Linked DNA regions of Coturnix japonica. The protein of the gene in region 1 interacts with the protein of each later gene in a pairwise test. Links are inferred from orthologs where the notes say so. Each region holds a gene or a part of one and is shown in the gene's direction. Other genes may lie near its edges.

Region 1 (4,051 bases):
AACTGATTTGAGGTTAATTTCCTTGGTGTCTTTATTGCTCTTCCTCTCTCATAATGCAAGCTGCAACCATTAGTGTACATTGAAATTACTTTGCAAATCTCCCCTCTCTAAAAGCTGATTTTTTCCTGGGCTTCTCATTTTTTAAAACCTTCATATTTGTCAAAATAAATGAAAATGTGTTATATGCACATAATGTTTTTGTGGTTGCACTGTGTAAACAGCATTGAAGCAAACTGAATTAAATGGATATTTTGTTGCAGGATCAGATTCTGCCTCTGTTAAAGGAACAGAAACAATCAGAGGAGCAGTGCTGTATGGATGTTACTTATTTCTGAGTTTACTTTGACGTATTTATTGTGTATTATTTACAGTGTATAAGGAAAAGAGCATACCAGTTACAGCATCCAAAGGCTCATCTTAAAAATAAACAATTAGAGGCACGATATGGTATGTGTTGGAGCATCTAACTTGTGCTAATGTAAGTAAATGGTGTTTCACTTTTCTTTGCCTAATTAGCACAGTAACTTGTTAAACTATCAGGGAAAAAAATGTGCAGAGGAATCTGATGGGTAGTATAAAATCAGTGAATCAATATAAATCAATATAAATAACTATCAAAGAATCTCTCAGAAGGCATGAATCACTGATGTAAGGCAGAATACACCCAGCAGCTGTTTTACTGTCTACGTAATGTATCTATGATATCCCCATGTGTTGCTATCAGCACATGGGGATAGGCATAGGCATTTAGTGTGTTACCTCCCAAGCCCCTTTCATTGTGAGATTCAGTTCTGGAGTTCCCAATAAATCATAGTAGTTCATATCCTATTGACTTTGTGGCCAAAATGACCACACGGGAATGGGGCTGTTCACGGGCTCTGTTGATGCCGAGGCAGCAGAAACGAGGGTTGTATATAATGGGACGGGATGGGTTTCTGCTGCAGAGCGTCCCACGGGAGGGACATGGATGGGGAGCTGAAGGCCACAGGGCTTTTCACAAGCGGCGACGCAAACGCCTGCTTATGCCTTCGGCAGCTACCGAGCAAACAAACAGCGGGAAGCGGACAACGGGATACCCTCAACACTCGCATAAACCTAGCGGGGGAATAGGCCAAGCTGTTCCCTCCCCCACAGCTGCTTCCTTCTGTCCTGGGACAGGTAGAGGCGGTTCCATTCCTACCTGGGCGGGGAAGGCGCCGCTGGTTCCTCCTCCCCCCGCTTCTTGCTCCCGCCCCATCCTCCTCCCCCTCGGCGTCCCCAGAGGGAGCCCCTGCGCTCCGTGGCCGGTCGGAGAGCGCAGCTGGGCAGAGTAGTCCCTTGGCCGGCCCCATCCGTTCCGCAGCCCCTGCGACAGAAGGAGAGGAGGGAGTAGGAAAGGAGAGGAGGAGGAAGAAGGCAGCAGTCCTTCTGCAGCTGGGTAGGAACGTGTGCGTGCAACCCTCGACGGCTGCCCTCCAGCATGTTGCTCGGAGGCAGAGTGGCAGCCAGGAGCTGAGCGGAGTAGAACGCAGAGCAGAGTAGCGCAAAGTGAGGAGCAGCTCGTCGGGGAGCTCCGTTTGCCCGTCGCGTTCGATGCACACCATGGGCGTTCTCAACCCCCTGTCCGCCGCCAAGCCCCGCGGGGCCGCTCTCCTGGTGCTGCTGCTGCTGGGGCGCGTCGCACTCTGTTCCGCCGTGGAGGAGAAGAAAGGTAACGGGTGGTACGGGTGCTGGGGCTACAGGGTGTGCCCCTTGGTACTGCGGGGAGAGTCGGAGGGAAAGTCTTGGCTTCGTCCCTTAGAAGAAAGGGGGGAAAAAGTAAAAAATAAAAAACTACTGAGAGAAAGATGGAAAAACAGACCTACAGAGCAGTCGCGCAGCTCATGACTTCCTGATTCTAAGCTTATTTTCTTTTGTGGGGGCGGAGGAAATAAAAGGGAATAAACCTTTGAGAGTCTCATCGCTTGTGCTTGTCCCCTCCCGAGGCTTTTATTTTCTGCTCTCTCCTCCACTCCGCCCCCGTGCTCTTTCCGCGGCGCCCCGAGCGCCCTCACTGCCCGGGTTCACCCCATGGTGGCCGCCGGCCCAGTACCGCTCTGCTACCGACACCGGGGAGGTGGCACCGAGCACGGCAGGGACACGCAGGGCAGCCTCAGCCGTCCCGCCGCCTCGGGCCGGGCACCTCAGCTCATTCCGCTTCAAAAAGATGAATGCATGCATATACGTGTGCACACACCTGAGAAGGGTGTGTCGGGGAGGACGGGAAACTTCATGCGGATTCTGGTTCTCCGGTCGTGCTCGCTCTCTCTCTCTTTCTCTCTGCCCGGCCCGATGCCTCCGCTGTCACCCTCGCTGAGAGCGCCCGGCAGCCGTGCGTGGGAACGGCGCGGGACGGCCCGCGAGGCTGTCTGGTTGGCTTCTGGAGCTTTGTTTTTTATACGTTTTTGAAAAACTGGTTTAAGGAGTGAGAGAACGTTTTTGTTGGGAGAGTTCCGTCGCTTTTTCTCCATGTGTGGTGATCATTTCTGTGAATAGGCCCCGAGTGCTGTTCCAGGCAGAGTACAGTTCTCTTTATCTTGGAGATCTGCCAGCAAGGGAAAAAATGCAGATCTGTTGTTGTGTTTTCTTTCTACAGAAAAAGAGGGAAAAAAGAATTAGTAGTGTTTTGAAGAGCTGGCTTGCAGCTGAAAACAGCTGAACCTATGTTTTTGTAACTGAGAACAGTAAAACTGTCCTGAAAGGGAGCAGCAGCTGCCTGTTCTGAGGAACTAGTTACACAACCTCAAAGCATTGAAGAGGCTCCCTTGTTCCAGAAATCAAGTTCATACCTGTTGCTGATGTAACGTAGGCAGCTCTTCTTTCCTGGGTTTCTGATCTTTTTCTTTTCTTGTCTCCCCTCATCCACTGAAAGTGACGGGGAGCAGAGCTGACTCCGTCTGCTGCATTTAAGTCCTTTGAAATGGAACACCCTGATGCACATGCCCAGCAGAATCTGTAAAATGTGAGGGTATATATGTTGTTGCCTTCTTTAAAGTGCTTAATCTGGTGTCTCATAAAATTATGAAGGTGCTGTTTATTTGAGGATTGTTAAATAAAAAACAGCTACATGATAAACCCAATGGGCATCATTGTCAGCATTGTGTTAGTGAGTAACCATTCCTGTGAGGAGGACCGGGGACAGAAGAGGGAAGGCAGAATAACTTCTTCAAGAAGCATGAATCAATTATTTGAGCTTTATCTGTTTTTCTCCGCATTTGAAGATGAGAGAGGAAATAAAGGTGGGTACAGAATAAAGTGGCATTTGGGAATCATAAAATAATGAGTGAAGACCCACTTCCTTGGGACCCCATGGCATCTGAATTTATAACAGTTCTGAAAGCAAATATGCTGCCATAAACATTGCAACACTCATGTTTTATGATAAAATTCTGTTGCTTCTAGAAGTACAAATAGTAAATGCATTTATGCTTCTTAATATTTTAGTTTGTATTATCCCCCCCAAATTACCTTGGCAAATCTTTTTTGTTACAAGAATGTCAGAATCAAACTATAATGGGCAATGTAATAGTTGAATGGAAATTAAAATTCACCTGTATATTTTACCAGAAGTTTAGAACAATCTTTTCAAATTTGGATGAGACGAAACTTTTTTATTTGAATGACTGCAGTCATGAAAATGAAAAACAAACCAAACAAACCCAGTAGCTGTGCTTAATGCAGCACCAAACAGCATTGTTAGAAATTGAACTGTCACAGGGATCAATACCTCCCTCTCTCTCAATCCACCATCTTTAATGTTGATCCAGATTAACAGCAGAGGAAGTAATCTGGATTTACACTGATAGTTGCTGGATGGCCTGTTAGGTGCCTTTGACAGCAGGCATGCCACTTCCTGCAGCATGCATTTGACTGATGTCCATTTTGTTTCTCATTGCTTAGTGACATTGCATTTAGTCAAACCATTTCTTGTTGCTTTTTTGGCTCTATATATCTAGTTTTGATCTGTAGTTGCAGCCATTGTGGAATGGAGTAAAGGACTGTGCACTCTAACCCACTGGGCAGTGTACTGGCT
Region 2 (4,107 bases), on another chromosome or scaffold:
CTAGTTACCAATTATCTGCAAAGCCCTTCCACAAGCTTCAAATGAGTTTACGGCTGCCTGAGTGAGACATGTTATACCAAGATTTTATATTGTGTTCATCCACAGTAGGGGTCAAAGTAGAAGAGGTAACATTTCCAGCTGGTTCCCTTATCACTCTGTCATAATTTTGCAGGCTTCTCTCTTGCTATTTTCATTTAATAACACTCAGAGAGGATCCTGAAAATTCTATTATTTCCTATTTGAATCTTCATAGTAAGTTGTTTCCAGCTTAAAAACATCTACAATAGAAAAGGCACTTTCTTGCTTGTTGACTAGGAGCTGGCTGTCTTGGCAGATGTAGACTTACTTGTACTAAAGATACTTAATTGTTTTGTTTTAATTGGTTGCCTCTTACTTGCTAATTTTCAAATACATCCTTAAAGGGAAAAATGAAAAACTAATAGAATTTAGTTTCTGCAAATTGCTCTACATTCTCCAATGATTACAATAGCACGCAGAAAAATAGATATAGGAATTATTTTTACTTTCTTAACCAATCACTTATATTATAAATGTTTGTCACTCTTCATCCAAATCTGGCAGGCTCTTTAGTTTTGCTGAGCATCCCTGGCATCCATCCCCTGCTTGGGAAACAAAGCTCTTCCTGATTCCTTGCATTTTTAAGTTTTCAGTCCCTTAGTATTCTTTGAAAGTAGACTTTCTTCCACCAACTTACATCTCAAATCAGGAGAGTATATTTTTATCTTATCTTGCTTTTATTTTATTTTCTTTTAGAGGAAATAAACCAGAACGGTAATTTTTGTGGACCTCAGACTGCTAATTCTTACTGACTTTTATGAACTTTTCTAAGTGTATGAACTTGAGAGTTTCATCAAATTAATCTTTCATCAAATACAAAGAAAACAGTGGTCAGCTATTTTCACATTTGAAATTGACAACATTTTAACTGATACAAATAGGAAGATTTTGACTTGTGTTAATACTACTTCTATATGAAACCTAATGTTGAGACCATACTGGAGAAAATAAAGATGATTATTTTCAAAAACTTCCTTCAATACAGCAACGAATGAATGCACAAAGAGATTTGTGTGGAGGCAGTCTGACTATATGCAACACGAGTTTTCAAGATCAGCTGTGTCACAAAGCATAAGTTCTGGGGGCTGTACAAGTGTAAAATACTTGTTACCCTTTCACATGGTGCATCATACTCACTTGAAGGTGAAAATGGAATGCTAACTGTATCCATGAGTCAGTTTTGTGCATGGGAACCAAGTTATTTTAAGATAAAGTGGATGTCTTTTTTCAGGACCAGCACTTGCAGATGTGGGAGAAGCAATGAAAGAGCTCTCTGAGGTCAAAGACTCTTTAGACATGGAAGTTAAACAAAACTTCATTGACCCACTTCAGAATCTCCATGACAAAGATCTGAGAGAAATACAGGTACTGCCTACAATGCGGCATTTTCATAATGCCAACTTTACAAATATATATATGTATTTGTATATTTACTCTGTGTGCATATATATGAAATCTGTTATTTGTGTACTTTAAAAAGAACTCTTAGATTCACAAATGATCTGACTTAATCCCTTTTTCTTTGAATATTATTTTTCACATCTGTCCCTTTTTTTAGAATCAGAAAGACCAAAACTGTAATTTTTTGAGAATAGCATAACCTTGGTAGGCATTAACACAGTACTGTAATTATACCATCTGAAAATATGTTTCATGTAAGTCACGTAATTAGATGAAGAGATGTTTGCATTCAGTTTTCTAGTGTATAAATAAGCAGATGTATTTTGATAGTTGCCTCTAGACTTGCACAACTCTTTCGTCTGTGTAAAAATTGTGCCCAAAATATTCCCAGGAATTTGGAGCACAAATGCATAAATTGTGTGGTTCATAGTCCAAGGATCACCTGGAATCTATTCACAGAAAAATCTCATTGGACAAATTCTTGTATGTACACAGGCTAATATTATAACGGTGAATGTACAAGTGCTTCCTAATTCAGCAAATGTTTATCTGTATAAATAACTATTCTGAGATCAACAATTCTTTCACATGGTTAAATATAGAAAGAACAAAAATGTCTTAGGCAGTCTGATACAATTTACAAAATTGATAAAGTTAATCGTAATAGATGACAAATTGTTTTTTTTTTAAACTAGTAAAGACAAGTATTCTGGCTAGCAACATTACTTTTTGGCCAGCATCGCATGGCAACTGCTAAATAGAATGTCAAGAGTGATCTGTCAATTACTAAATCAGAAAATTTTCAATAAAAGATAGCATTAAGATACTTTGATGATCTGATGAAAGTGATTAAAAGTGTATTCCACGTTGTTTTGCACATGAAAGTGTTTCACAAACCAAAGGCAGTTATATGTCAGAAACTCTCATATCTTTAATTAAAGCATCAACAGTATTTATTCATTGTATGTGGCCTGTTTTAGTGCTGAACAGCTTTCACATTTGGACACCAGTGCATCTTTCAAGAGATGTAAAACCAGCTCATTGTTCTGCTTTTCCTGTCTCAGGAAAGGATGACGTACAGCAAACAGCACATATTTGTAAACTTGCATGGTGTATCAGTTAAATTACAGAGAGCCCCTGGTAGAGAAAAGCAAGGGAAGTTGGGAAACACTTTTTATTCTTATTTATTCTTTTGTATTTTTGTTTTTCAGCATCACCTAAAGAAAATGGAAGGTCGACGTCTGGATTTTGATTACAAGAAGAAAAGACAGGGCAAGCTCCCTGATGAAGAGCTTCGCCAAGCTCTGGAGAAATTTGATGAATCAAAAGAAATTGCTGAGTCAAGCATGTTCAACCTTCTGGAGATGGATGTGAGATACCTCTTGTTTATGCTCTGACCTAAATCTTAGAATGGAAGTGTGCTGGTTCAGCAATGAAGGCAATTTAAAGCTGTCTAAATCTTCTAATTCTGTGATGCCATAGATTCCAATAACCTGAAAATGAGAAAGCACTTCCTACTTCATTACACTCAGTGAGAGGTTCAGAAGCTATATTAGCATACAGTACGCACATGCAAGACTAATTTAATAGGTATTTGATAGATAAGTGATAAAGAAGATAAATCCCCTATAACACCATTGTGCTTCCTAATTAAACAGTATTATTTAGAAAGACAAAGTGTTTTCCTTCTTAGAATGACATAAATGTAAATAATGGTTTTTACTTAGCTGTAGTTATGGAGTTACATCTGAGGCTTTTGTTCAAATATGTATGCTGCTGAGAAGACTTGTAAAGATCAGAGATGATAAATGCACAACCCTCATGATCTCTGCCCTCATCATATGCAATAACAATTAGGAAAGCCAGAGTTAATATGACTGTGGAATCCTGACTCTGAAGCTTTCTTTTTTTCTTTTTTTTTTTTTAAATTTCTTTTTTTTTTTTTTTTTTTTTTTTTTTAAATTTTTTTTTTTTTTTTTTTTTTTCAATTTTTGCTTAGAAACTGGTTTAGGATTTTACATGTATCGGGTTTTTAAATTCTCTCTTTGTAAGTAATGTAACGTCTACCTCTTCTGGAGAGAAAAAAAACAAAACAAACAAACATTATAGCTGAAGTTTGTTGCGCAGGATATCTGGTTAACTGAATCTCAATTTCAATATTTCAGTATAAGTAAATGATTGCCCCCCCCCCAGTCTTGGACACCATGGTCTTCTTGGAATAAACCCACTGTCTGGTGGAGACCACATTTAGGCCTGCAGTCTCAAAGACTGCCAAGAGGAAAGATTCTCACCACTTTACCCTCCCTCCATAGCTGCAGCACCATGTTATCAATGTAGGCTGTGCTTACTCATTGAACCTCCCCATTTTTAGTGGGCAGCAACAGTGGTTACTCACCAGGTGTGCTCTATGAGGGCTAACTTCTGCCTTCCCTGAAGCTAGTTAAACCCTATTATCAGGTGTGAAGGCTAAGGGTAGGTGTTTAAACTGTGCTGCTAATGTGCTAGCTCCACCCTTGCTGACTCAGGAGCCTGCCCACAAGCTGTTAGATCCTCAGCACAAGCATAGCATTGTTGCTAGCTTCAAAAAAAAAACCTGAAAAATAGCTTTTTTATGTCGACCTTTTTTAC
Region 3 (4,107 bases), on another chromosome or scaffold:
GAGGGCAGCATTTATTCCTCTTCTTGGTATTTACTTACACACAGGAGGGTGCAGATGTTGCTCCCTGCCCCGTGCCCTGTTGCTGCAGCCTCCCCAAAGGTCCTGGGCTCCGCTTTGCCTTGTCTCTGAGCCCTTCTCAGCCTCCCTCTGCCCCACAGGGAGACTTCCCACTGAAGGCAGAGCGGGTGATCCAGTCGGTCATGGCCATCTGCAATGCCCTGGCTGCCGTTGAGTCACAGGAAATAACAACAGCCCTCAACCAGATGCCCCCTTGCCCGTCCCGCATGCAGCCCAAAATCCAGAAGGTAAGAGCTGAGAAAGGGGTGGGTGCAGAGAGAAAGCCCAATTGCAGGCTGATCCCATTCACTCCTTTCCTTTACACCACGTGGAAAATTCCTCAATAGCTGGGAGCAGGCAGCAGCTGAAGGGCCAGGACCTTGGTGCTCACCCCGGCTGCTTACGTAAAGCTGTTGGCTTGGAGAGCCTCTCCCGGCCGCAGCGACGCTCAGGGCTCATGCTGATATTGCTCTTGTGGTTTCTTTTCTTTATTTTCCTCTGCAGGATCCAAATGTTCTGGCCAAGAGGGAAAATCGAGGTATTTCAAATTCTCCTCCTCCTCCTCCCCTTCTGGATTGAACTTCTTGGTGCTTTTAATCTTCAAACCCCTCCTCCTCCTCAATTATTAAGGCCGAAAATGGGTTTGAAACCCTTCTTAAAGAAAAGAGGCCATGCCTATTGTTCTTCCCCATCAGCTCAGCTAAGTGGAAGCCTGCAATTCCTGCACTTCCACCTCATGCCCCAGAGCACAGCCCTGCTCAGGGTCCCCCCCCCCAGCATCCCAGCCCCATTTTAAGGCCCTATAAGACACAGCAAGGCAGCAGGTCTCAGACAGCTCTGTGTCACCCCTCTCCTTTTTCCCCTGCAGAGAGGATCGTGGAGAGCCTGACGGCTGCCATCCTGGACCTGGTGGGGCTTTACTGCAGCACCTTCAATGCTGACTTCCAGACAGCAGTGCAATGGAGCCGGGAGCATGGCGTGGTGCAGGAGGCTCGCCTGCTTTCCTGCCCACTCTCCTTCACCGTTTACGCCACTCACCGCATCCCCATCACTTGGGCTGCCAGGTAGGGTGGCCATGTGGACATTGCTCAGCCTCTACCTGCATAATCTGGGGCACAGACCTGTTAGTTCCATCTCTAGGCTGCTCAATATTCAGCATAAAAGCTAAACCACCCCAGGGCGCCCCATGTTCGGCGTGCATTGAGCGGTGCTTGCATGGTGCAGGCGGATGGCACAGGCTCTGTGCTGCTCTCTTTCTCCAGCCCCACACATCCCCAAGGCTGCAGCATCACTCCTGGGCTCACAGCCTCCCTGGCGATGTGACAGATGGCCCCAGTGCCCGTGCCCACTCTCAGCCCCATGCAGGGGAGACAGTGGCAGCCCAGGAGCCCACCATGGGGAGGGTGTATGAGGCAGCAGCATCGGCTGCAGCCGCCCCGCCGGGGACCCCTCGCCTTTGTCCTGTCTTTAATGTATTCCCTCTGGTGACTGGCTCTGAACAAAGCCCGTAGCCTGGGAAATGCCGACATCCCCTGACCTCCAGCACCCCGCAGCCCTCCCCGGATTGTCGCTCGGCACCTGCCACATGGCAGGACCCCCCCCCCCAGCAGCCCCCCTTGTGATGGTATGCGCGATGCCATATGGTGATGGGGATGGGAAGGACAGGGGCTGCTAGCTCCGTATCCACCCCCCTTGTGCAAAGCTGGGGAGGACGAGCCACTTATGAAGGGGCTTCATTAGAATGTGGCCAGCCATGGGAACATACCCAACATATCCTTTTTGCACCCCCCTTCCTCCCAGCTCCACTGCTATGAGGTTTCCCCTTTGGTTAAGTGAACCCCAAGCACCCTCAGAGCTGTGGCTGCTCCCCCCACTCACATTTCTTTTGCTCCCCTTGCAGCTATGAAGATTTCTACCTCTCTTGCTCCATCACGCACGGTGGTAAGGAGCTGTGCAGCCCCCTGCACACCAGAAAAGCCCACGTCTACAAGTACCTTTTCCACCTCATCATATGGGACCAGCAGTAAGGCAGCACCCTGGATGTGGGGTGGGCATGGGTACCCGGTGCCGTCCCCATCCGTACTACCTCCTCCAGCAGCTCCTCTCTGTGCCTCTCCCTAGTTTTAGGGTTATGGAAGCTCTTATGTCATCCCCAGGAATAGCACCTGCCCCTGGCGCCAGTCCTCCACCTCCTGTTTGCACCCGGGAAAGGGGATCTGCTCCCAAAATAGCCTTGGGATAAGGATAAGGATAGGGATAGGGAGGGAGGCTGTGCTGAGCCCTCGCCATGCCTGGCATTTGCAAAGAGGTGGGGATGGGAATGGGATAATTTTAGAAGGCGCCTGTGCCCCTGAAGGACGTGTGTCCAGTGGCACCAATCCCCTCTGCCTGTCCCACCCATCCCATGCCCACCCTGTGGGCAGGATGCCCTGAGCTCCTTGAGGACCCCCACACTGACAGGGAGAAGCTGGGACGAGGTCAGTGTGCAGTATCCCCCATATCACCTACCTTGGATATAGCAAAGGCATGGGAACAGCCGGCCCTGTCCAACGTGGGGGGGTATGCCCATGACGTATGTGTGCACGTGGCACCCCCAGTGCCAGCAGCAAAGGCATTTGCTGAGCTCTGTTGGCATTCCGAGGTAAGGGGCCAGGGCTGATCCGTGCCGTGGGGCTCTGACTGCTCTCTTGCAGGATCTGCTTCCCCGTCCAGGTGAACCGACTGCCGCGGGAGACGCTGCTCAGCATCACGCTCTTCGCCGTGCCCGTCCCTCCCCCGGGGAGCTCCTCTGACACCAACAAGCAACGGCGGGTCCCTGAGGCCCTGGGCTGGGTCACCACTCCGCTCTTCAACTTCAGGCAGTGCGTAGGGTGTCCAACCACCACGGGCACCCCAGGGTGGGCTCTGAGGGTCCCCCAGGGCTCAGTGTGGGGATGCAGCATCGCTGCAGCGGTGTCACCCCAACCCCAGGGGAGCAGCCCCCCAAATAGATTCCCCTTTCTCCTCCAGGGTCCTGACCTGCGGGAGAAAGCTTTTGGGCTTGTGGCCAGCGACCCAGGACAACTCCAGAGCCAGATCGAGTGCCCCCAACTTCAACCAGCCTGACAGCGTCATCCTGCAGGTGGGTGTCAGCAGTGGGGGCACCGGAGGGGTGTCAAACCCCCATTCACTCACTCACCCATCCTTTGTCCCAGATTGATTTCCCCACCTCTGCCTTTGACGTGAAGTTTGTGAGCCCGCTGGCGGCCGAGGTGAGCCCCAAGTACGAATTTGGCAGCCTGGGTGAGGAGGATCAGCGCAGGCTGCGGGAGGCGATGCAGAAGAAATCGCTTTATTGGTGAGCAATGGGGGGGATCAGCACCATCCTTCCTTGAGGGGTCTCAGTTGAGCTCTGCCCAGCATTGGCTTGCATGCACAGGGGGCATCTGGGGGCCTGATCCTTCCTCCAGCAGCTGGTCTGGGGAGGCAGCTGGGGCTGGAGGATGAGTTTGAGGTTTGGTGGAGTTGCAATGCTCAGTGCTGCTGAGCCGGCCGGCGTCTGCTGCTGCTATAAACAGGGAGGATTGGGTGTCAGCAGCCGTGCCTGGATCCACAGAGCATGACAGCAGTGGTGGATGTGTCCCCACTGACAGACACTCCTCCAGTACCCACTGACGGTGCTAATTCTGCCTGCCAAGCATCTTGGTGCAAGGCCAGCACATGATGGGTGCCCCAGGGACCAGGGGAGCACCCAGCATCATGCAACATGGCATAGCCCCATCCACCATCTCTCTTAAGGCTGTGGAGGGTTTTATCCATGCATGGTGGGGTTGGAGCTGTGCGCTGTGCCCAGGCTTTGTCATCCCTCATTGCTTGCTGCTGCAGGTTGACAGATGCAGACCGCAAACGGCTGTGGGAGAAGCGCTACTACTGCCACGAAGCACCCGGCTCACTGCCCATGCTGCTGGCCAGTGCACCCAGCTGGGAGTGGGCCTGTCTGCCTGACATCTATGCCCTGCTGAGCCAGTGGACCTACATGAGCCACCAGGATGCCCTGGGGCTCCTTCATGC
Region 4 (4,690 bases), on another chromosome or scaffold:
TCCGTGCCGTTCCATGCCGCTCCATGCCGCTCCGTGCCGCTCCGTGCCGTTCCGTGCCGCTCCGTGTTACTCCGTGCCGTTCCGTGCCTTTCCATGCCGCTCCGTGCCGTTCCGTGCCGTTCCGTGTTACTCCGTGCCGCTCCGTGCCGTTCCGTGCCGTTCCGTGTTACTCCGTGCCGCTCCGTGCCGTTCCGTGCCGCTCCGCCCCGCTCCCCTCGTGCGGTTCGGGCTGCGGTGCCTCCCCCGCCCCACATCCGCGGAGGTCGGACTGTCGTGCCTCGCCCGTGACTCACCTGCCCGCAGACCTCGGGCCGTTGTCCCGCTGCTCTGAGCTGCTGACGCACGTTCGGCTCGTGACGCTCCGTCCCGCTCCGGTTCTGGTTTGCAGAAGTGCTGCCACGTCAGAACTTCCCCGTCGTGCAGCTGCACAACATCGGTACCTGTGTGCACACAGCCTCGTGTTCGTCATCGCGGTGCCGCTCTGCTCCATTGCTGGCTGCTTTTCCTGTTTATCGGGCTAATTGTGAGGCAGATCTGTGTCCTGCAGCCTGAGTCGCACGACTTCATAAGGTGGGAAGAACACACGTGGCTTTGTTACTGTGGCCCATTCATGCAGGAGGATGAAGCGTTGGTGGCCTCCTGCACACGGGCGCTGCTGAGGGCCCTCCCAGCAGCTCTCACTACCTGTAGCGTTTCCATCTAACCAGCCTGCATGGGTTGGCATAGAAGAAATGGGTGTCAGAGGCCAACAGCCAGGATCTGCGGCATCCTCCTTTCCCCCTTGCAGGTTCAGGCAGTGCAGGGAGGCCAGGTGATGCTGTCTGGGCGTGTGGGGAGTGAGGAGCCTGCGAGCAACTGACCGGCTGCAGCCCGACAGTCAGAGTGCACCGTGGGCCAGCAGAGTGTGCTCAGAGCTCAGTGACACGCAGGCAGCTGCACAATGCAAGGAGCACTCAAAGCATGTGAAGATTCAGTCCCTGGGTGGGGCAGACACGATGCTGCTCATAACCAGAATCGTGCTCATCGATAAAAGCTGCACCAGGGCAGACAATTATACTGCAGGAAAGCCAGCTGAGTGCTGCCAGGCGGGGTTACTTGAGCAAGCAGCCCCTCCTGGGGCTGGCTGGGCACAGGCCATGATTGCTCACCTCCTGCACAAAGCTGTGCTGGGTTGTGCTGCGGGGACAGGCTGGGCTCCAGGTTGGGTGGGCTGCAGTGGCCAGGCCCAGCTCAGGCAGTGCCGGGTGCCCAACCTCCATCCTGCACCAGCAGCCATATCCCGGTGCCACCAACCGCTGGGGATGTCAGGCTGCGTGGAGCCCAGTGAGGGGTGAAGGACAGTGCCCCGGGCAGTGCCCTTCTGTCCCTTTTCTTTCCCAAGTGTGGATGCAGTGTGTCCAGTATCCAGACTGTATGATCCGATGCAAAGCCAAAGCACTGCGGGGCTGCTCTCCTGGCTCTGCCGGGCGCGGTGATCTACGCACACACGCATGCACACACACATATACACATACATACACACGCACATACACACATATACACATACGCACACTCACACACACACACACACACACACACAGACCCACGCACACGCCGCCCACGCACATTGCTGCTCATTGCTGCTCATTGCTGCTCATTGCTGCTCATTGCTGCTCTCGGCCCCTCCCGCGCGTTCCCTCACGTGCTCGCCCCGCCCCGCCCCGCCCTGAGCCCGGAGCGGCGGCGGAAGCGCGGGGAGCGCGGAGCGGGATGGAGCCGCCGGCCAAGGAGGGGCCGCTGTTCGTGCAGCACAGCAACAAGTTCGGCACCAAGGTGCGCGCCGAGGGGGCACGGGGCGGGACGGGGTCGGTCGGTCGGTCGGTCTCCGTCGGTCTCCGGGCCGTGGGTCGCATCGAGCCGAGCCGAGCGCAGCGCTGCCGAGCGATGGGGGCCGCAGATTGCTCCGCTCGGGCGGCCGCAATGGGAGGGAGGGAGGGAGGGAGGGAGGGAGGGAGGGCGGGGGCGGCCGTGCTCCGGGACGGGACGGGACGGGACGGGACGGGACGGGACGGGACGGGACCGGGAGGCCCCGCGCTGACTCGGTGCCTTGCAGCGGTGGAAGCGGGGCTGGTTCGCGCTGTTCCCGGCCAGCCAGCACGGCGTCGCCCGCCTGGAGTTCTTCGATTGCAAAGAGCCGGCGGGTCCGGCCGGGCGGTTGGGGACGCGGCGCCTGGACAAGACGGTGGTTCGCCTGGCGGACTGCACCAGCGTCAGCCCCGCGCCCGCCGAGAGCGGCCCCCGGGCCGGCACGGCCGCCTTCCGCCTGGAGACCAGCGGGCGCAGTTACCTCCTGGCGGCCGAGCGGCAGCAGAGCGACGAGTGGGTGGCCAAGCTGTGCGAGATCGCCTTCCCGGTGAGCGGGGCGGGGGGCGGGGGCGGCATCTCGTGTGTCGGTGTCGCGGCCCCGACGAACCGTCCCGAGGCACCGCGGCCGTTCAGGGGCTGCCCCGCGAAGCGGCTCCGGCCTCGGCAGCCGCCCGGGTTGGACTCGTGGGGCCGCCCGGCTGCTCAGCACAACGTCCCCAGGGGCTCCTGCCTGTGCCCCGCGCTCCGGGACATCCGCTGCGCTGCTGCACGGAGCCCTGCTCAGCCCCTCAGACCTGCTGAGGGCTGGAGGTGTGTCCCCGTCGGTCCCAGCTCTTTGCCTTTCCTGCAGAGGCAGAAGCTCAACACTGAGTGGTGCAGTTTCCAGCTCTGGGACCCGTCAGGCTCCTGGGAAGCACCAGCAGCTCTGGGGACAGAGCAGCCCCTCACCGAGCCTAGGGGTCACTGTCCAGTGCCAGCATCAGTGCTGGCCCATGGCTTCCAGCTTCCCAGCCCTTCCCAGCCCCTCCCCAGGGCTGGCTATCAGCTGCCTATTGCATCCTTGAGAAGGCAGATCACAGGGCAGTGGTGGCCTGTATGTGTTGGTGTTTGCATGGCTCTATGACAGGTCCCTGCCTGTCTGATCCCACATGTGCCCTGTACTCATTTTGGGGTGGGAGAATTGGTCACTGCTGGGCAGTGCTTCCAGACTCAGGCTATGGATGCAGGGCTGGGCTTCCCTGTAGGACCTCCCTGCAGCCATCAGTGACTGGCCCAGCTCAGAGGCACTGGTGGCACCGGGAGTCTTTCCATGTCTGTGGCCCTGTGTCATGCAGACTGTATTGCAGCCTTTGTCCTAGGCAGGGTTCCTGGTGCTCAGCTGGGAGCCCACCACCCACCTTCATTATGGTGGGGGCAGTGATGAGTGCTTCCTTGGAGCAGTGCTGTGCTAACACCTTGGTTCACCTGGTAGCTGCCAGTTGCAAACTTGGGGTCCAGAAGCTGGTCAGCAGCTTAAGGATGAGTTTGACAGTGCTGTGAGATCAAGGGGCTGTACTGAAGGCCTGCCCTGGAGCACAAGGTGTAGGAGCTGCTGCATGTGATCTATGCAAGAAGGTGAAGGTGCTTGGTTGCAATTTCTGCTCATCTGCTTGGAGAGTGAGATTTTGTGTTGTGTTAACTGTGGTCCAGGAGGTAAGCAGCTTGGGAATGGCCCACAGAGATCATTTGATCCTGGGTTGCATCAAGAGAATCACAACCAGCAGGTTGAGGGAGATGATTCTGCCCCTCTACTCTGCTCTTGTGAGACCCCACCTGGAGTACTGTGTCCAGTTCTGGGGCCTCCAACACAAAAAGGACATGGAGCTGTTGGAGCAGGTCCAGAGGAGGGTCACAGAGATGATCAGAGGGCTGGAGCACCTCCCCAGCAGGGGCAGCATGAGGGAGCCGTGGCTTTTCAGCCTGGAGAAGAGGAGGCTCAGAGAAGACCAGATAGTGGCCTTCCAGGACCTGAAGGAGCCTACAGGAAAGCTGGAGAGTGAGTTATTGAAAGGGCATATAGTGACAGGACGAGGGGAAATGGCTTTAAACTTAAAGAGGGTAGATTTAGACTAGGTAATAGAAAGAAATTCTGTCCTGTGGGGGTGGTGAGGTACAGGAACAGGTTGCCCATTGAGGTTGTGAACGTCCCCTCCCTGGAGGCATTGCAGGCCAGGCTGGATGGGGCTGTGAGCAACCTGGCCCAGTGGAAGGTGACCCTGCCTATAGCGGGGGGTTGGAACTAGAGGATCTTAAAGGTCCCTTCCAACCCAAACTGTTCTGATTCTTTTTCTTTTGAGCATGAGGGAAGGTGCAGTCCAACAAAGCCCCTGGGCATTCTTGGCTGCCTGCTCCCAGGTTGAGCTCTGCTCCATTGGATACTTCAGGAGGGCAGAAGATGCTGCTGTCAGCTCTTGGACTTTGGGTTTTAGCAGCGCATCCTGTTTAGAAGCCAGAGAGAATCTGTTGGCCTTGTTTGGGCCTTACTTCTCACAGGGGAGCTCATGTGACTAGTTTTAAACTGAAACTGCAGCAGCTTGCCTTCTGCAAGATGTGCTGCAACCCCGGCCACGTGACCCTGGGAAAGTTTCCTGCTTGGTCTGAGCTCAGACCCTCCTGCGGGAGCACAAAATCCACTGAAGGGCTGTTGCCAACATCAGTGGGCCCCTGGTTTACATGGGGCTGCTCCAGAGGAGGGTCCCTGGGGGCACTGAGGGTGCGTCTGCCACACTGGTCCACGGGGGACTCTGCAGTGGAGATGTGGCCCCTGGCAGAGTGTTTGCGTTGCACTTTCAGTTCTGCATATGCT
Region 5 (4,709 bases), on another chromosome or scaffold:
TGAGGTAAGAAATACATGCTTTTAAAAGGGGAGAGAAAAAGGAAAGAGGCAGAAAGCAGGCTGAAAACTGAACTCAACCAGACAAGCAGAACAGACTTCCTAAGATCCAACCGGACGTTATTCAGGGTCTTGTTGCAAAGACTGGAGAACTTTCTGAAATGCAAAGTATAACTGTGTAGGCTTTTGCCAGAAGCCATATAACTGACATCCTTGCCATGTTCAGGAAAGATAGTCTCTATTTGTATATAAAACACTACAATAATCAAAGTCATGTTCAAAGTTTAAACAGGAACATCCTTATAAAACAAAGGTTGAACTGACTTGACATTTTGCAATAAAATTACGCACTGGTTAGAGGCTAAATGTAACTGACTTAACCCATTCTTTTTTTGTTAAGAAATAGAGCAGCAAAATGTGGAATGCTTCGAAAATGGAGGTACAGTTTATTTCCTCAGCATGTGGAGCTATAGGCTCACTGTTCCAGCAGGTTGGTGGAGTGAATCACAGGAGGGGGTGGGAACAGGGCAGACGTGTTCAGGAGCAGAACAAGCACACCAGTCTATTTGTCTGGTAAGGAAGAAGGCAACAGTCCTTGACATTAAGGAGGACACGCTGACTTCAGTAGCCAAAGGGTTACCTTGGGACCCTCTGCTGGTTGCCCCCACCTCGCTTTTCAGCAGCACCATATCCAACACAAGCAGCCACCAGAAGCCCAGTGACTGCCCTCAGGCTGTAGTAAGGCTGGAGCAGCAGCTCCCATACCCAGAAGTTAGAAAAGTAATTGGTGGACAGAAGGATCCTGAAGGGTATCTGAACCTCAAGCCTGTCAGCTGGTCTTTTTGTTCCTCCCACTCACTGAAGAGAAAAAAAGAGGAACTGAGAGCTAGAAATGAAGCTCAAAAGTATATCCTGAGTCATCACTCTGTTTCTTTGCTTGTATTTAAACCAATTGTCAACCGCTGTGAGCCTTTAAAGCTAAGGAGCCACATCCAGACTGCTGGATATAAACCCTTTACGTGACACCAGGATCTCCAAACTCATCAGCAGGGGAGAAAAAAAGCATCACCGGGAGTTACGCAGAGTTGTGAAGCACTTCTTCAGAAGTTATCCGGTCCAGAACAATGCAGCACAGTGCAGGGCATTGTGTTAGGTGATTTCCTACCCAAACCTTGCGGTTATTTTTGTATCACTTTCCTGTGCGCTCCTCTCAGCTTAAGGCCGTTCCTAATTTAATGCAGCGGTGAGTAATAAAGAAAATTAACAGCGCTGGATTTGTTTTAATTCAAGAAGTCTTGATCATTGATTAGCAATGACACTTGAGAGACTGTGGCTACTGTGGCTACTGTGGCTACTGTGGCTACCTGCTACTAGGGGCGCCCCTGAGCTCAGTGCATACATCAGCACTGTCAGTGCCTCCAGCAGCCCTTACAGGAATCTGCTTGCTTTTATAGGGCACTCTTAGTCTTAAACCATGTAAACTGTCAGCCAACCCCCTGACAGGACACAACAACAGCTTGTCATGATGGATGCGTGACTTTCTGTGGGACAGTCAGGCGGTTTGAGGAATGCTAAGTTTATGACAAGTTACAGATGCACGCTGGGCACGGCAGCCGTGGTGCGCTGCTCCTGTCCCGTTCACCCCGGGCTGCTTGCGGGCAGCAGACACGACTCGGTGCGGCCCTGCGGGGCGTGGCCGGGCCTCCCCGCGCCGCTCCGCCCCAGCCCGGCAAGGCCGCGGTGCCGGGGGCGGCGGACGGGGCAGGGCGGGAGCCGGGCAGCGCCGGGCAGCGCCATGGGGCTGGAGACGGAGAAGGCGGACACCCGCATCTTCATGGACGACGACAACTTCCCTCCGGGCGGCCCCGAGCTGTCCGAAGCGGAGAAGTGCGCGGAGGACGCGCTGGAGCGGGACCCCCGCGGGATGAACGCCCACCTCCAGGTGCCGGGCGGGGCGGTGGGGGGAGGCGGCGGGGCCGGGTCCGGGCGGCGGCTGACGGCCGTCGGGGCTGCTCGCTCTTCCAGCTGGGCTTCGAGGACGTGATCGCCGAGCCCGAGCTCACCCACTCCTTCGACAAGGTGTGGATCTGCAGCCACGCTCTGTTCGAGCTCAGCAAGTACGTGCTGTACAAGCTGCTGAGCCTGCTGCTCGCCGTCCCGCTGGCCCTGGTGCTGGGGATCGTCTTCGCGGTGCTCAGCTGCCTGCACATCTGGTGAGTGTGTGAGCGGCCCGGGCCGGGGGGCGGGGGGTTCTGCTCTGCCGCATCAGTGCCCCCATGGCCGCCGTGAGGACCTGCGGGCAGCTCGGCGTGTTCTGCCTGCCGGGCTGCTAACGGGAGAGGAATTAAACCTGCGCTTTGTCCGTAGTTCAAGTCCACACTCTGATCTTAGCAGCTTTCCTGGCTGGGTGTGCTCCCAGGGGCAGAGCGTTGATGTTTGTGGGGCACCTTGCTCGGCTATGGATGGCTTGTTTTTGTAAAGCAGAGTACAGACGTTGTTAAAACACGTGTGCGTTAATTGGAAGGTTTCAGGGGGTCCAGCGCAGTCTTTTTATGCTACTGTCACAAAGTCAGCTGTCAGTGGCTCACATCAGGTGCACGGCCGTCTGCAGGTGCAGGGCAGAGAACCCCACCTGAGCTCCTGAAAGCCACGGCCATGGTTCACAAATACAGCAGCAAAGCTGGTGTACCTTACACAGAAACTACTGGTGAAGTATTGCAAGCCCAGAGAGGCAGCTGATGGAGAAGGAAGAGAGGCAGGGAAAAGAATGATGCAGAGGAAGGAGAGTCTGTCATGCTGCAGAAGGAAGCATGAATGTGTATCATCAGTGTAATTCTTGCAAACCTGGATTTTCCGTATACATAAGTTTTTACCTAAGCTTTATTTGCCATGAATAATATTGGTATCATGAAGAGGTCAGTAAGGAAAACAAAATGCCATCCAGAAACTGGGAAACAAAGTTGATATAAATACATTGGTTATTTGAACCCCTGATTTTTTGGTTGCAGATTTCAGTTTTCAGAAGGAGAATGGAAATTTGGGTTGATGGCATTGTTATGAGCTGCTTCAGAACCTGACTAACTTAAGTTCTGGAGCATGCAGAGTTTGCAGTAGGAAGCTGCTATATAATTTAGAGCTGCTACTTTGTTGGGCCTCAAATTACTATGGGCATTTTATAGTGGGCCTAGACTTTCATATCAGCCAGTGGTCTCTGTGCTTTACTGTACTAGAACTGCAATAGGATATGGTGAACATCTAGATTTCCTATAGTGAAATGTCTGGAAGAGTTCATTGATGATCAATTTGTTCACAATGATATCATTTAATGCTGCAGGATGATCTTCTATCTGAATTTCACAGGCTGGATATGTGGACACGAGTTCCACTGAACAGGACTCAGGGGTCATTTCTATTTGTGCAAGTAGTCCCCAGTGACTCTGTCAGGAACTGTGGTTCCCAGTACATCTGAAATAGAACTGAGAGAATGTGGCACTTGATTTTGAGAAGTTTCCCTTGACTTTCTGCAGACACACTTACTTGTCTCCTCAGCAGCTCATTTTCGATTCCTGAGTTCACTGTCAGGATGGAGTTGATCCTTCATTTTGGTCTTGAACCTGGATGGGAATCACATAGCACAGGAGTGCTGTCTGCGTCCCTTTGGACCCTACCCAGTGCTGCAGTTGGTGGCACAGCACAGTCTGGTCATCCCACAAACACAGCCTGGATTTGTTCCAATGCAATGTTTGCACACACTGTGGTTATACTGACTTATTTCTGCAGCTCCCAGTGTTCCAGATTTCTTGGGATTAAGGAATTCAATGTCTGTGTGTTTGGGAGGATAGTGCAGGAGCAACTGATACCAGAGGCATCAAAGAGACCCTATACACTGGCTCCCATCTAAGCCTGTTGGGTTTGTAAAAATATCTCCTCCTTGTTTTGTGGTTGCAGGGATGGGAATTCCATTATAATTCTGTCTTCAGCTGTTTAAACATCATGGGAAAGCTCTGGGCACTCCCTCCCACATGGCTGTCTACAGGAGAGCTTATCAGAGTCTGTGCCTTGTTGGCAACATCCAAACCACTGAGATGCTGATGCTGATCAGTTGCAGGGGAGCCTTTCCTAAGAATAAATTAGAAACTGTTTCAACAACGCTTGGAAGTCCCAGGGAACAAAGCTCTCATGGTTGTCACACACATGTTGCAGTTTTGTCAACATGGTAAAAATTCACTGAAGTCTGACAGCATTCCTCATGCTCCAAGGACACTCCATGACTTGCGCCCATTGTGTCTTGAAGTGAATGTTGTCTTTCACCAGAAAAAAAGAAGAGCACTAATAAGGGAGGTGAACACATGAGACCTGTGGAAAGCAAAAAGAAAACTTCAGTTTTCATTGCGACCTATTAAAAATGAATAATTTGATTCTGTTCTCATTTTGCTTGAGCTAAAATCCAGGTTTACGCTGCCTGGCAAAAGATACTGAAGCTGTGGTAGCCAGCAAGACCTACATACAAGCTACTTCAAGGAAAGCTGCTTCTCTCTTAGTGATGGCTGTCATTTTAACTGCAGTCGATACACTCAGTTGTAAGGCCAACTTTAACAACTATCTGTGAATATCTGAGCAACCTTTTAAACTTGTCCCTAGACTGAGGCTGCTAAGATTATTGATTTTTTAATATGAGCAGAGCATTGCTGGATGGCCATGCAAAATCATGA
Region 6 (4,107 bases), on another chromosome or scaffold:
TCTGCAGTGGGGTTTCCTCGCTTAGACCCACTAAAATCAGGGGTTTGCATCTCAGCAGTTGCTCAGACCTTTGCTCGGTTGTAGCCTTCCTTTTGATTTTCTTCTTGTTTCATTTCTTTCCGTGCTGTTGATTTCGTGTGGGGTTTCTTTTTTCTTGTTAGGAACAGGCGCTCTGAGCTTTTTCCTTTTCAACTCCTGAGTGGTCCTGTGAGAGGCCCTTCACAAAAGGGATATGGATTTTCTCACCCCCCAAAAAAAGCTCCCTTACAATAAGAAAGATAAAAATGTGTTTTTAAAAACCCTACAAGAAAAAGCCCCAACAAAACAAAAAACGTTCCTCACTCCCTGGCTTTGTGATGTGGCTACAGGGAAAAACTGCCTTGAAAGAACTGTGGCTGGTGCTGTCACTTTGCAGTTCTTTTTGTGCCCTCCTCTGTGCACGCTGTCCTTGCCAAAGCTTTGCTATTGTTCTGCAGGAGGATACCATGGAGGTGGAAGAGTTCTTGAAAGAAGCTGCAGTAATGAAGGAGATCAAGCATCCGAACTTGGTGCAATTATTAGGTAAGTGATAAATACCAAGCAGGGGGATTTGAACTAAACCCTTGTGCAGTGATATGGATGTTAAGGAGCAGATAAGCTGCTTACCATACCAAGGCTTTAAATACAGGCACTTATTGTCTGGCAGAATTCACAATTTGTACCGGTAATACATGATTTTTAATGATCTCGTCTCCCTAACGTTTTAAGTTGCCAGAGCCTGAAGCAGGAAATTAAAATCCTCTATTAACCAGTTCCAAGCAAAACTCATTCTCTGTACAATCCCCCCTCTTTGCAGCCATTAGAGATATATGTTGCCTGGGATGACAGCCTGGAAGAGTCACTGATACTCTCAAATGTTCATAGGAAACTTTATCTTGGTCCATAGGGGTGTGCACACGGGAACCTCCTTTCTACATCATTACGGAGTTCATGACATATGGGAATCTGCTGGATTATCTACGTGAGTGCAACAGGCAGGAGGTCAATGCAGTGGTGCTGCTGTACATGGCAACCCAGATCTCTTCAGCCATGGAGTACCTGGAGAAGAAAAACTTCATCCACAGGTACGAAGGGCACCGAGTGCTCCTGAATCTCAAGCACAAAACACCACCTGATGTATTTTGAGGTTGTCGTGGCCTTCCCTTCAGCTGCAGCCCCTATCTACTGTATTCTGATGCAGTATGTTGACCTGTTTATAGGATGGTCTTCTAATGGTTTTCCTCCATTTTTTTCCCTTTTTTGAAGCAGATGTAGGTTAAAGATGTATCAGTGCTTTTACAGTTTGATCAAACGCTTTAAATATAAATGCTTCCTCAAGTAACAGGTTCTTAGTGGCTCACATAGGCCTCTTTGTTGATTTCAACAGCCATTAAAGGCTGCTGCAGATGGGTGACACTGCTGGGTGCTCACAGCAAAGCCACCCTCTTAGTGCCGTCTCACCCTGTGTCCATTCTTGTTTATCTCACACTTTTCCTCCTCTGCAGAGATTATTGTCCACCATTGTCCAGATTATTTGACTTTAATAAGTATCTTTGCAACCTTAAAGTCCCAAAGACTCTGACCTTTAAGTGTGCTGCAATTATGACCAGAGCTTTGCATTCTTTGTCTGTAGGAGCGACCTCCTAGCAATATAATGACACATCCTGTGCGAGGGATGAGAGCTGCTGAGTTCAATACAAGATGTTCTCTGTGCCACAGTGTGACCTTTCCTGCCCAATTAGCTAGAATATAGAATTAGCACATGTTTTTTTATAGAGGGAAATATGAAGATCGCGTGTAAAGTTCTAGGTGTTCCTCAGACATGCCTTGCTTTTTGCTGCCTGAAAGAGCTGTTTAAATGCTTCTGTCAGTCATTGAAGCAAACGGTGATGCTGCAATTAAAATTTCCACCCTTTGAATTGCTCTGTTGAAAGTATTCCATCCCTTCTGCCTGTAGGAAGTGAGCTTTAAAATCTGCCTTGTATGAATCCCGTTCGTCTGCTCTCCCGTTCGTTTCAATTCATCTTATTTCTGATGACCCATTTATCTAAAATAAATAGTAGCGTTTTTCCTTATCAGCCACCCCCACACCCACCTACCCAATTATTTTAAGAGTGTTGTCACCATTCACATCCGTAGATTCAAATGCTGGGCTGTGACCTCATTTAATGAATCAGGAAGGAGGAGGAATTTGATTATGAAGAGGAGCTTTTATTTAGACATACATTGTAGTAATCAGAATTGATAAGGAGATACATTCAAAAACATTGTGAAAATATAATGGGCATCTAGTAAGGTGTACTTTTTCCCCCCCTTAATTTATTCCCATTGAGCAGAACAAGCAAAAGAAACAGCAGAGTCTGCCTCCTATCTAAAGAAGATCTCACCTTTTCTGGTAGAATCAATTTTTAGTTCAATGTAACATAATCTGAAAAAGTGCTTTTAATGAAACCTGGTATTAGGAGAAATGTATTTCTGTGCTTTACATTTCTATGCAGTGCTGAGGGTGCTGGCAGCATGTTTGAGCCGGGGGGGTGGTAAATGCAACGTGTGCATCTCTCACCTGCCAAGGTGAAAAAACAGAGGAAAAGCTCAGTCTGCTGATCATCCAGTCTACTGAAAACAGAAGTACTGATAACAGAGGCCGGGGTAGTTTGAGAAGGGCAAAACCTCTCGTGTTTGAAGAGTAGGGCTGAAAGGGTAAGAAGAAACTGCTGTCCTGCAGCTGCCCACACAGGCTTTGTTCTGCCTCCTCACTAGGCAGCTGGGGTTGCTGCTTTTGTGGGTGCTGTCATTGAGTCGTCTGTATGGTCACCAATGACTTTTTTAGGGGGGAGGGTGGTAGAAAACATGGTGCTGTAAGATATGTGATACTTGGGAGGGAGGAGGGCACAGCTGGGAGTTAAAGCTGCCTCTGAGCAGGGACTGGGAGAGGAGTTCTGAAGGGTGAACGGTGGTGATTGGGTTGATGGAGGTGTTAGAAAGGTGGGCAAGAAGGGGAGGCACTGCGACGTCTTTAATTCAGCGCTCATCCTCAGCTATTGATAACTTGAGCACTGACATTTCTTTACATTATTTTTATCCTGAGGGTGGCAGCTTTTATTGAAAGTGAGGGGGTTCTTGGAGCTTTCATTTTGCATTTAAAAAAAAAAAAAAAAAGAAGTTGGGCTGACAGTCTTACAAAGCCGGAATGGAAAATAACTTTCCCTCTTCCATGTGTGTGCAGAGCTGCATAATTTCTGTGTAATACCCTGATCAGAATAATCACGTGCAGGCCCAGGCTTCTTTGGGAACAGCAAATTTCCTCTCTCTTGCTAGAAGTGAGAGGACAGACTTCTCATTGCTTGGTTTTGTTCTTGTTTTTAGGGACCTCGCTGCCAGAAACTGCCTGGTAGGGGAGAACCACTTGGTGAAGGTGGCAGACTTTGGCCTGAGCAGGTTGATGACAGGTGACACGTACACTGCCCACGCTGGGGCCAAATTCCCCATCAAATGGACGGCACCAGAGAGCCTGGCCTACAACAAGTTCTCCATTAAGTCTGATGTCTGGGGTAAGAATTTGCATGAACAAATTAATTCAGATTATGGTCTTTTACAACCTTCGTTTCCAGGGCTGTGAAATGAGGATGCTGTGAAATGTTTCAGGAGAGAGCAATGCTCCCTGCTCTGAGCTGTGTTGTATCAGAGTGCAGGAATTAATCTCTGCCAAGTCGGTCTTGGAGTGGAGAAGTGAGGCTGCAGACCTGGCTTTACGTGTTTGAGTCATTGACAAGTATGAAAACAAAGGACACTGTGGTGTTTATAGAGTTGTATGAAATGGGGCTGGAGGGCAGCCGTGCTGCTGACTTGATGGAGCTCTGGCACAGAACTGTGAAGCAATATATTGCTTTATCGCCAGGAACTTTCAAACTACTTTAAGGAGAAAAGTGAGGATCTGGTTCATTTTATGTTAAAAAATTATGTGTGTATCTGTCTGTCTGGTGATAGCTCCGAGCTCGTCTTTCTGCATTTTAAAAGAATAATCTTTGGAATGAGATGAGCAGAAACAGAGAGAAAATTTGATGACAAATGGTTATTGAAGAGCCCTGA
Region 7 (4,079 bases), on another chromosome or scaffold:
TTACATGAATTTTAAATCCCTTTGTAGTTGCCTTTCAGCCAATGTCTGAATGTTCCAGGGCTTCACTGCCTGTGGGGAATGGGGAGATGGTGCCCTTTGCCTCCCCTTCTTGCCCCGGCCTTAGGGAAGAGCACTCCTTCCCCCTGCCCTGTCCTTGGCACTGGGGCCATGCCCCCTGCCTTACTTCCTATGGGACTTGTAGAATTCAGGGCTATGGGGTGAGTGCTCACTTGGCCCAAAGAAGCCTAGAGAGGGCCTCTGCCCTGCTCTTTGCCCCCGTCACTTGCAAGGGCAGTCCTTGGGGCAGCTGTGGCTCTGCCATTGCAACACCACACAGCAGTGGGACCTTTTTGAGAGCTGAGAATGCAGCCAGTGAGTGAGGGAAGGCACACTATGGGGGAACACAGTGTTTGTGTGCAGAGAGGGGCAGCACTGACCTTACCCTGCTCCATTCCCTGTGTGCGATGCTTGGGAGGGACGTGAGCTTTGTGGGCAGTGCTTGCAGCTCCTCTGGGCTCACACAGAGCTGTGGGTCACTTGCTCCAGCCCTCCTCATCCTTTTTCCTCCTCTCACGGCCGCTCAGAGCTGCTCCTCTCCACTCCTGCTGGGCCGTGGGGAGGAGATGTGGGTCCATGCTCCCTTAGCGCCCTCCTGTTGTCTCCTTCACTCTTTCTGTTTGTGGTTCTCTTACACTCTGGAGATAAAATGTGTTTCACTCCTGAGCTCTGTATTATACCCTCCAGCCTGCCCCATGTGCCCTCCCCGCTTGCTCACACCTCTTTCCATGCACATGGGGCTCAGTGTGGTGGCACTGCCCAACTGCCCCCTGTAACCCCTGGTCCCTCTCACTGCCTCTCCTCACCCTGCCCTACTCACTGGATTTTACAAAAACAGAACCATTCTCCTTGTTTTTATTTATAAACATAGTTTTATTGGACTCCTGCCTCGCGTTTTGTTTTGGACCATTCTGCTTCCCACTCCCTGCCACATCCCGCTGTGTAGGGGTGCTGGCTGTTCTCCATTGGGATATACAATGTGTGTGCCCATGCATGGTGTCAGCCTCATATATGCCCATAAATGCCCATACTGTGCAGTGGGGACCAGCGGGGCCGTGCAGGGTGAGGGCGGCCTCCCCTTACAGCCCCATATTGAGGCCTAGCTGCTCTGTGCCGTCCCCCACGAACTACAACTCCCAGCGCGTCCGCGCCTCAGGACTACATCTCCCAGCATGCACCGCGCGGATCAGTCCTTCCCGCCTCCACGCTTGACGCATGCGCAGTGCCAGCGGGGCGCGGGCAGCGCATGCGCGGCGGCGGCTCTGCAGTGCTAGGGGGGGCGCTGAGGGACGGGGGGGCGGCAGCCGCCATCTTGGGCGCTGGGCGGCGAGCGGCGGCGGGCGGCGGCAGGTGAGGCGGCGTGCTGCCATGGGGCCGAGCGGCCTGGTTTGGCTCCCTGTGGGGCTGTGGGGCTCTATCTGTGTTGGGCTGGGTGACCGGCCGGGGTTCGGCGGGCAGCGGCCGTTCCCTCAACGCTCGGGGCCGGGGGTCCGCGGGCCTCCTCGGTGCGGCTGTGACAGCGCCGGGCCGCCTCCCCTCAGCGCTCGGGGCTCGGCCGCAGTTCACGGGGCGGCGGGGCTGCGCGGCAGGACTGTGCTCGGCCCCGGGGGATGGATGGGATGGATGGGATGGATGGGATGGATGGATGGATGGATGGATGGGATGCGACCGGCTCTAAACCCGCCGGGCTCGGGCGTTTCTTGGAGCGGTGGGGTCGGAGCGGCGGCCCTGGGGGGTCGGGTGGGCTCGGTGCGGCACACGGAGCCTGGGGAACGGCCCCGGCTACGTGCCGGGTCAGCCCGAACAAAGGTCCTTTAATCGGATCAGCGGGAACTTCCCCGGGAATCATTCAGCCGATGGGACGGGGCTTCGCTCGGCCGTGGCTTGTCACCTCCAGCTTCCTCTATGGAAAAGCTGCTGGGCGCAGAGCGCCTCTGGTGATGCTGTGCTGAAGCGTAAAGAGGGCCTCTATCCAGCAGCGCCTATGGATGCGGTTCCTCTTCCTTCCTTCCTCGGGCTGGGCTTTGGATCCTGCAGAGCTGCAGGAAAAGCTGCCTTGTTTGTCGCCCTGTGCAGCTGATCGCTGGCCCCACCGGGAAATGACTCCCCGTCAGCTGTGTGATCTCTGTTTTCTCCTCACTTCAGGATGACAAAGCTGCCCTGAGTTTTTAGCCTAAGGCTTTCGGAATCTGAGCCTGGAACGTTCCCAGATAAGCACATCTGAGTGGCTTCAGTAGCTCAGAGCTCTGGTTGTGTTGGATTTGTATCCACATTTAGGCTTATGCGGGTACATAAGTTGTTGGGCACCATTAATGTGAATGCAGCGCTGCAGTTACTGCTTTTTTTTGCCTTATAGTAAAAATTAGACTTGTCCCAGTGAGTTGCTTGCAGGGACAACCTCCAGCCTGATGAGATGCATCCCAGCTGCCTGCTGCCATATTTTCCTTGTCAGAGCGGGGGCATCGTTCATCTTCTGCGGGCAGAGCCATGTTACTGACATCTAGTGACAGAGATACCCGGCGTCCTTTGGGCTGTATTTTCTTCCATATGATGTGATGTCTCCATAGGATATTATGGCCGGCTTCTCCCCTTCTCTCGAGACAGCACATTCCTGGTCTTTGAAGAGCTGAGTCTTGAGGGTACAAAGGGTCATATCTGCAGCTTTTTGAAGCAGAGATAGAGGATTCTTTCTGGGCTATCTCAGGGTTTGTGTGTGTCTTTTTGTTTGCTTCACGTGACCCTGGTTAAACTTTTCTTGGCCTCTTGGTGCAGAGGTGAGATGAAGCTAATCTAGTGCAGCACAGTGTCTTGCATCAGTTTCCTGAGCTTGTACAGCTGAAGGCTGTGAATATGCTCTAAGCTGGAGGGCTGTGTGGTGCTTTAATAACGAGGCCTGTCGTGTTTCCCTGTGTCAGGGTTTCTCTCATCCTCTATAAGCTGATGGCGTGCAGCACGGCACGCAGAGGCTGTAGGAGGGGAGCCTGCTTAGTGTTCAACGTGCTTCTCTTCCTGCCCACTGCTTGTGGGGATTTGTGGGATTGGGTTTAAAATTGGAACGCTTCCTCTGACACCGATGGGCTTATCTCGGGAGCTCTTTAGCTCACATTATGTGTCTTAATTAAATTACACGGCCTGTGTTCCCCAGGATTGCGGCTACTCTTCTTTAAAACCAGGTGTGGCCCGTGGCCTCCTGGACAGTGGCTAATGCAGCGCTATAAGCAAAGCTTAGGTGCTCAGATTAGCTGCTGCGTGATGACATTCGAGGTAAGCCTTAAGCCTGTCGGTTTGATAACAGCTAGTGCTAGCTTGAAAAGACTAGTTTCTTAAATAGCTTGTTTGCCAGAGCAGCCTGACTAATCCGCCTCCTGCTTCTACTGCTGTCATTTGTCCAAGATCACAGTGACTGCTGGAATGCACAAACCGTTACAGTTGGTTTGCCCTTGGTCCTGGGAGAGCTGCAGCACCTCTCCTGGCTTCTTCCTGGATGAGAGCTCCAGCAGCTAATGTACCTCAAACTGCTTAGCTGGATAAGCTCGCTAATGCACAGAAGTCTTACTTACTGTTAAGTCTGAACCCAAACTTTCTTTTAATAGACTGCTAAATGGGTTGGTGCTCTGTGCCAGCTTATCGACTGACTTGTGGCTGCTGCTTCCAAGATGGACTCTGTACGTAATAAACGCTCTTCTTTTCATTCAAGGTGATATCAGGGCTGCAAGGAAATTCCAGGAAGGTGTTTTTCTTCTGGTGTGGATGCTGCACTTAGTGCATTGTGTCTGTGCTCCCAGGTCAGCCACATGCTGCACCTCAGAATTGAAGCTGCTGACAGCCTGGCATCAGGACACTGCTTTGCTGAGCTGCGTTCCAAGTGCGTGGCACAATGTAGGTGTGAAAGGGCAAAGTCTGGCTTTTAAAGGAACACCCGGCATTAGAGCTGTCATGCATTCAAACACACATCCCAGCAGTTTGTTTTTGTACACGATCCTTTTTGTAGCAGACTTTTAAGATGGTGACTTTGCTACCAA

What was found.
Region 2: the proteins of EGFR (region 1) and SH3GL2 interact in a protein complementation assay, tested with the Homo sapiens proteins (3 studies listed by BioGRID and IntAct, with this or other methods). The link is inferred for Coturnix japonica from reciprocal best matches to the Homo sapiens genes EGFR and SH3GL2.
Region 3: the proteins of EGFR (region 1) and PIK3C2B interact in binary tests that used the Homo sapiens proteins (3 or more experiments, as listed by UniProt). The link is inferred for Coturnix japonica from reciprocal best matches to the Homo sapiens genes EGFR and PIK3C2B.
Region 4: the proteins of EGFR (region 1) and DOK1 interact in a protein complementation assay, tested with the Homo sapiens proteins (3 studies listed by BioGRID and IntAct, with this or other methods). The link is inferred for Coturnix japonica from reciprocal best matches to the Homo sapiens genes EGFR and DOK1.
Region 5: the proteins of EGFR (region 1) and CAV2 interact in binary tests that used the Homo sapiens proteins (3 or more experiments, as listed by UniProt). The link is inferred for Coturnix japonica from reciprocal best matches to the Homo sapiens genes EGFR and CAV2.
Region 6: the proteins of EGFR (region 1) and ABL1 interact in binary tests that used the Homo sapiens proteins (3 or more experiments, as listed by UniProt). The link is inferred for Coturnix japonica from reciprocal best matches to the Homo sapiens genes EGFR and ABL1.
Region 7: the proteins of EGFR (region 1) and AP2M1 interact in binary tests that used the Homo sapiens proteins (3 or more experiments, as listed by UniProt). The link is inferred for Coturnix japonica from reciprocal best matches to the Homo sapiens genes EGFR and AP2M1.

What each region holds. Positions count from the first base shown.
Region 1 is NC_029517.1:73,822,911-73,826,961, forward strand, and holds the start of EGFR (epidermal growth factor receptor), read left to right. Parts: upstream 1-1,251; 5' UTR 1,252-1,572; coding exon 1,573-1,690; intron 1,691-4,051. UniProt on the Homo sapiens protein: Receptor tyrosine kinase binding ligands of the EGF family and activating several signaling cascades to convert extracellular cues into appropriate cellular responses.
Region 2 is NC_029547.1:29,788,091-29,792,197, forward strand, and holds part of SH3GL2 (endophilin-A1), read left to right. Parts: intron 1-1,309; coding exon 1,310-1,443; intron 1,444-2,690; coding exon 2,691-2,849; intron 2,850-4,107. UniProt on the Homo sapiens protein: Implicated in synaptic vesicle endocytosis. May recruit other proteins to membranes with high curvature. Required for BDNF-dependent dendrite outgrowth.
Region 3 is NC_029541.1:2,127,288-2,131,394, reverse strand, and holds part of PIK3C2B (phosphatidylinositol 4-phosphate 3-kinase C2 domain-containing subunit beta), read left to right. Parts: exon of another isoform or gene 1-158; coding exon 159-305; exon of another isoform or gene 306-561; coding exon 562-595; intron 596-925; coding exon 926-1,121; intron 1,122-1,957; coding exon 1,958-2,080; exon of another isoform or gene 2,081-2,540; intron 2,541-2,750; coding exon 2,751-2,918; intron 2,919-3,066; coding exon 3,067-3,178; intron 3,179-3,251; coding exon 3,252-3,394; intron 3,395-3,921; coding exon 3,922-4,107. UniProt on the Homo sapiens protein: Phosphorylates PtdIns and PtdIns4P with a preference for PtdIns. Does not phosphorylate PtdIns(4,5)P2. May be involved in EGF and PDGF signaling cascades.
Region 4 is NW_015439533.1:509,740-514,429, forward strand, and holds the start of DOK1 (docking protein 1), read left to right. Parts: upstream 1-1,681; 5' UTR 1,682-1,749; coding exon 1,750-1,812; intron 1,813-2,092; coding exon 2,093-2,392; intron 2,393-4,690. UniProt on the Homo sapiens protein: DOK proteins are enzymatically inert adaptor or scaffolding proteins. They provide a docking platform for the assembly of multimolecular signaling complexes. DOK1 appears to be a negative regulator of the insulin signaling pathway.
Region 5 is NC_029516.1:22,513,360-22,518,068, reverse strand, and holds the start of CAV2 (caveolin-2), read left to right. Parts: upstream 1-1,701; 5' UTR 1,702-1,792; coding exon 1,793-1,939; intron 1,940-2,022; coding exon 2,023-2,210; intron 2,211-4,709. UniProt on the Homo sapiens protein: May act as a scaffolding protein within caveolar membranes. Interacts directly with G-protein alpha subunits and can functionally regulate their activity.
Region 6 is NC_029532.1:4,612,970-4,617,076, forward strand, and holds part of ABL1 (tyrosine-protein kinase ABL1), read left to right. Parts: intron 1-476; coding exon 477-561; intron 562-925; coding exon 926-1,103; intron 1,104-3,384; coding exon 3,385-3,569; intron 3,570-4,107. UniProt on the Homo sapiens protein: Non-receptor tyrosine-protein kinase that plays a role in many key processes linked to cell growth and survival such as cytoskeleton remodeling in response to extracellular stimuli, cell motility and adhesion, receptor endocytosis, autophagy, DNA damage response and apoptosis.
Region 7 is NC_029524.1:13,826,408-13,830,486, forward strand, and holds the start of AP2M1 (AP-2 complex subunit mu), read left to right. Parts: upstream 1-1,279; 5' UTR 1,280-1,407; intron 1,408-4,079.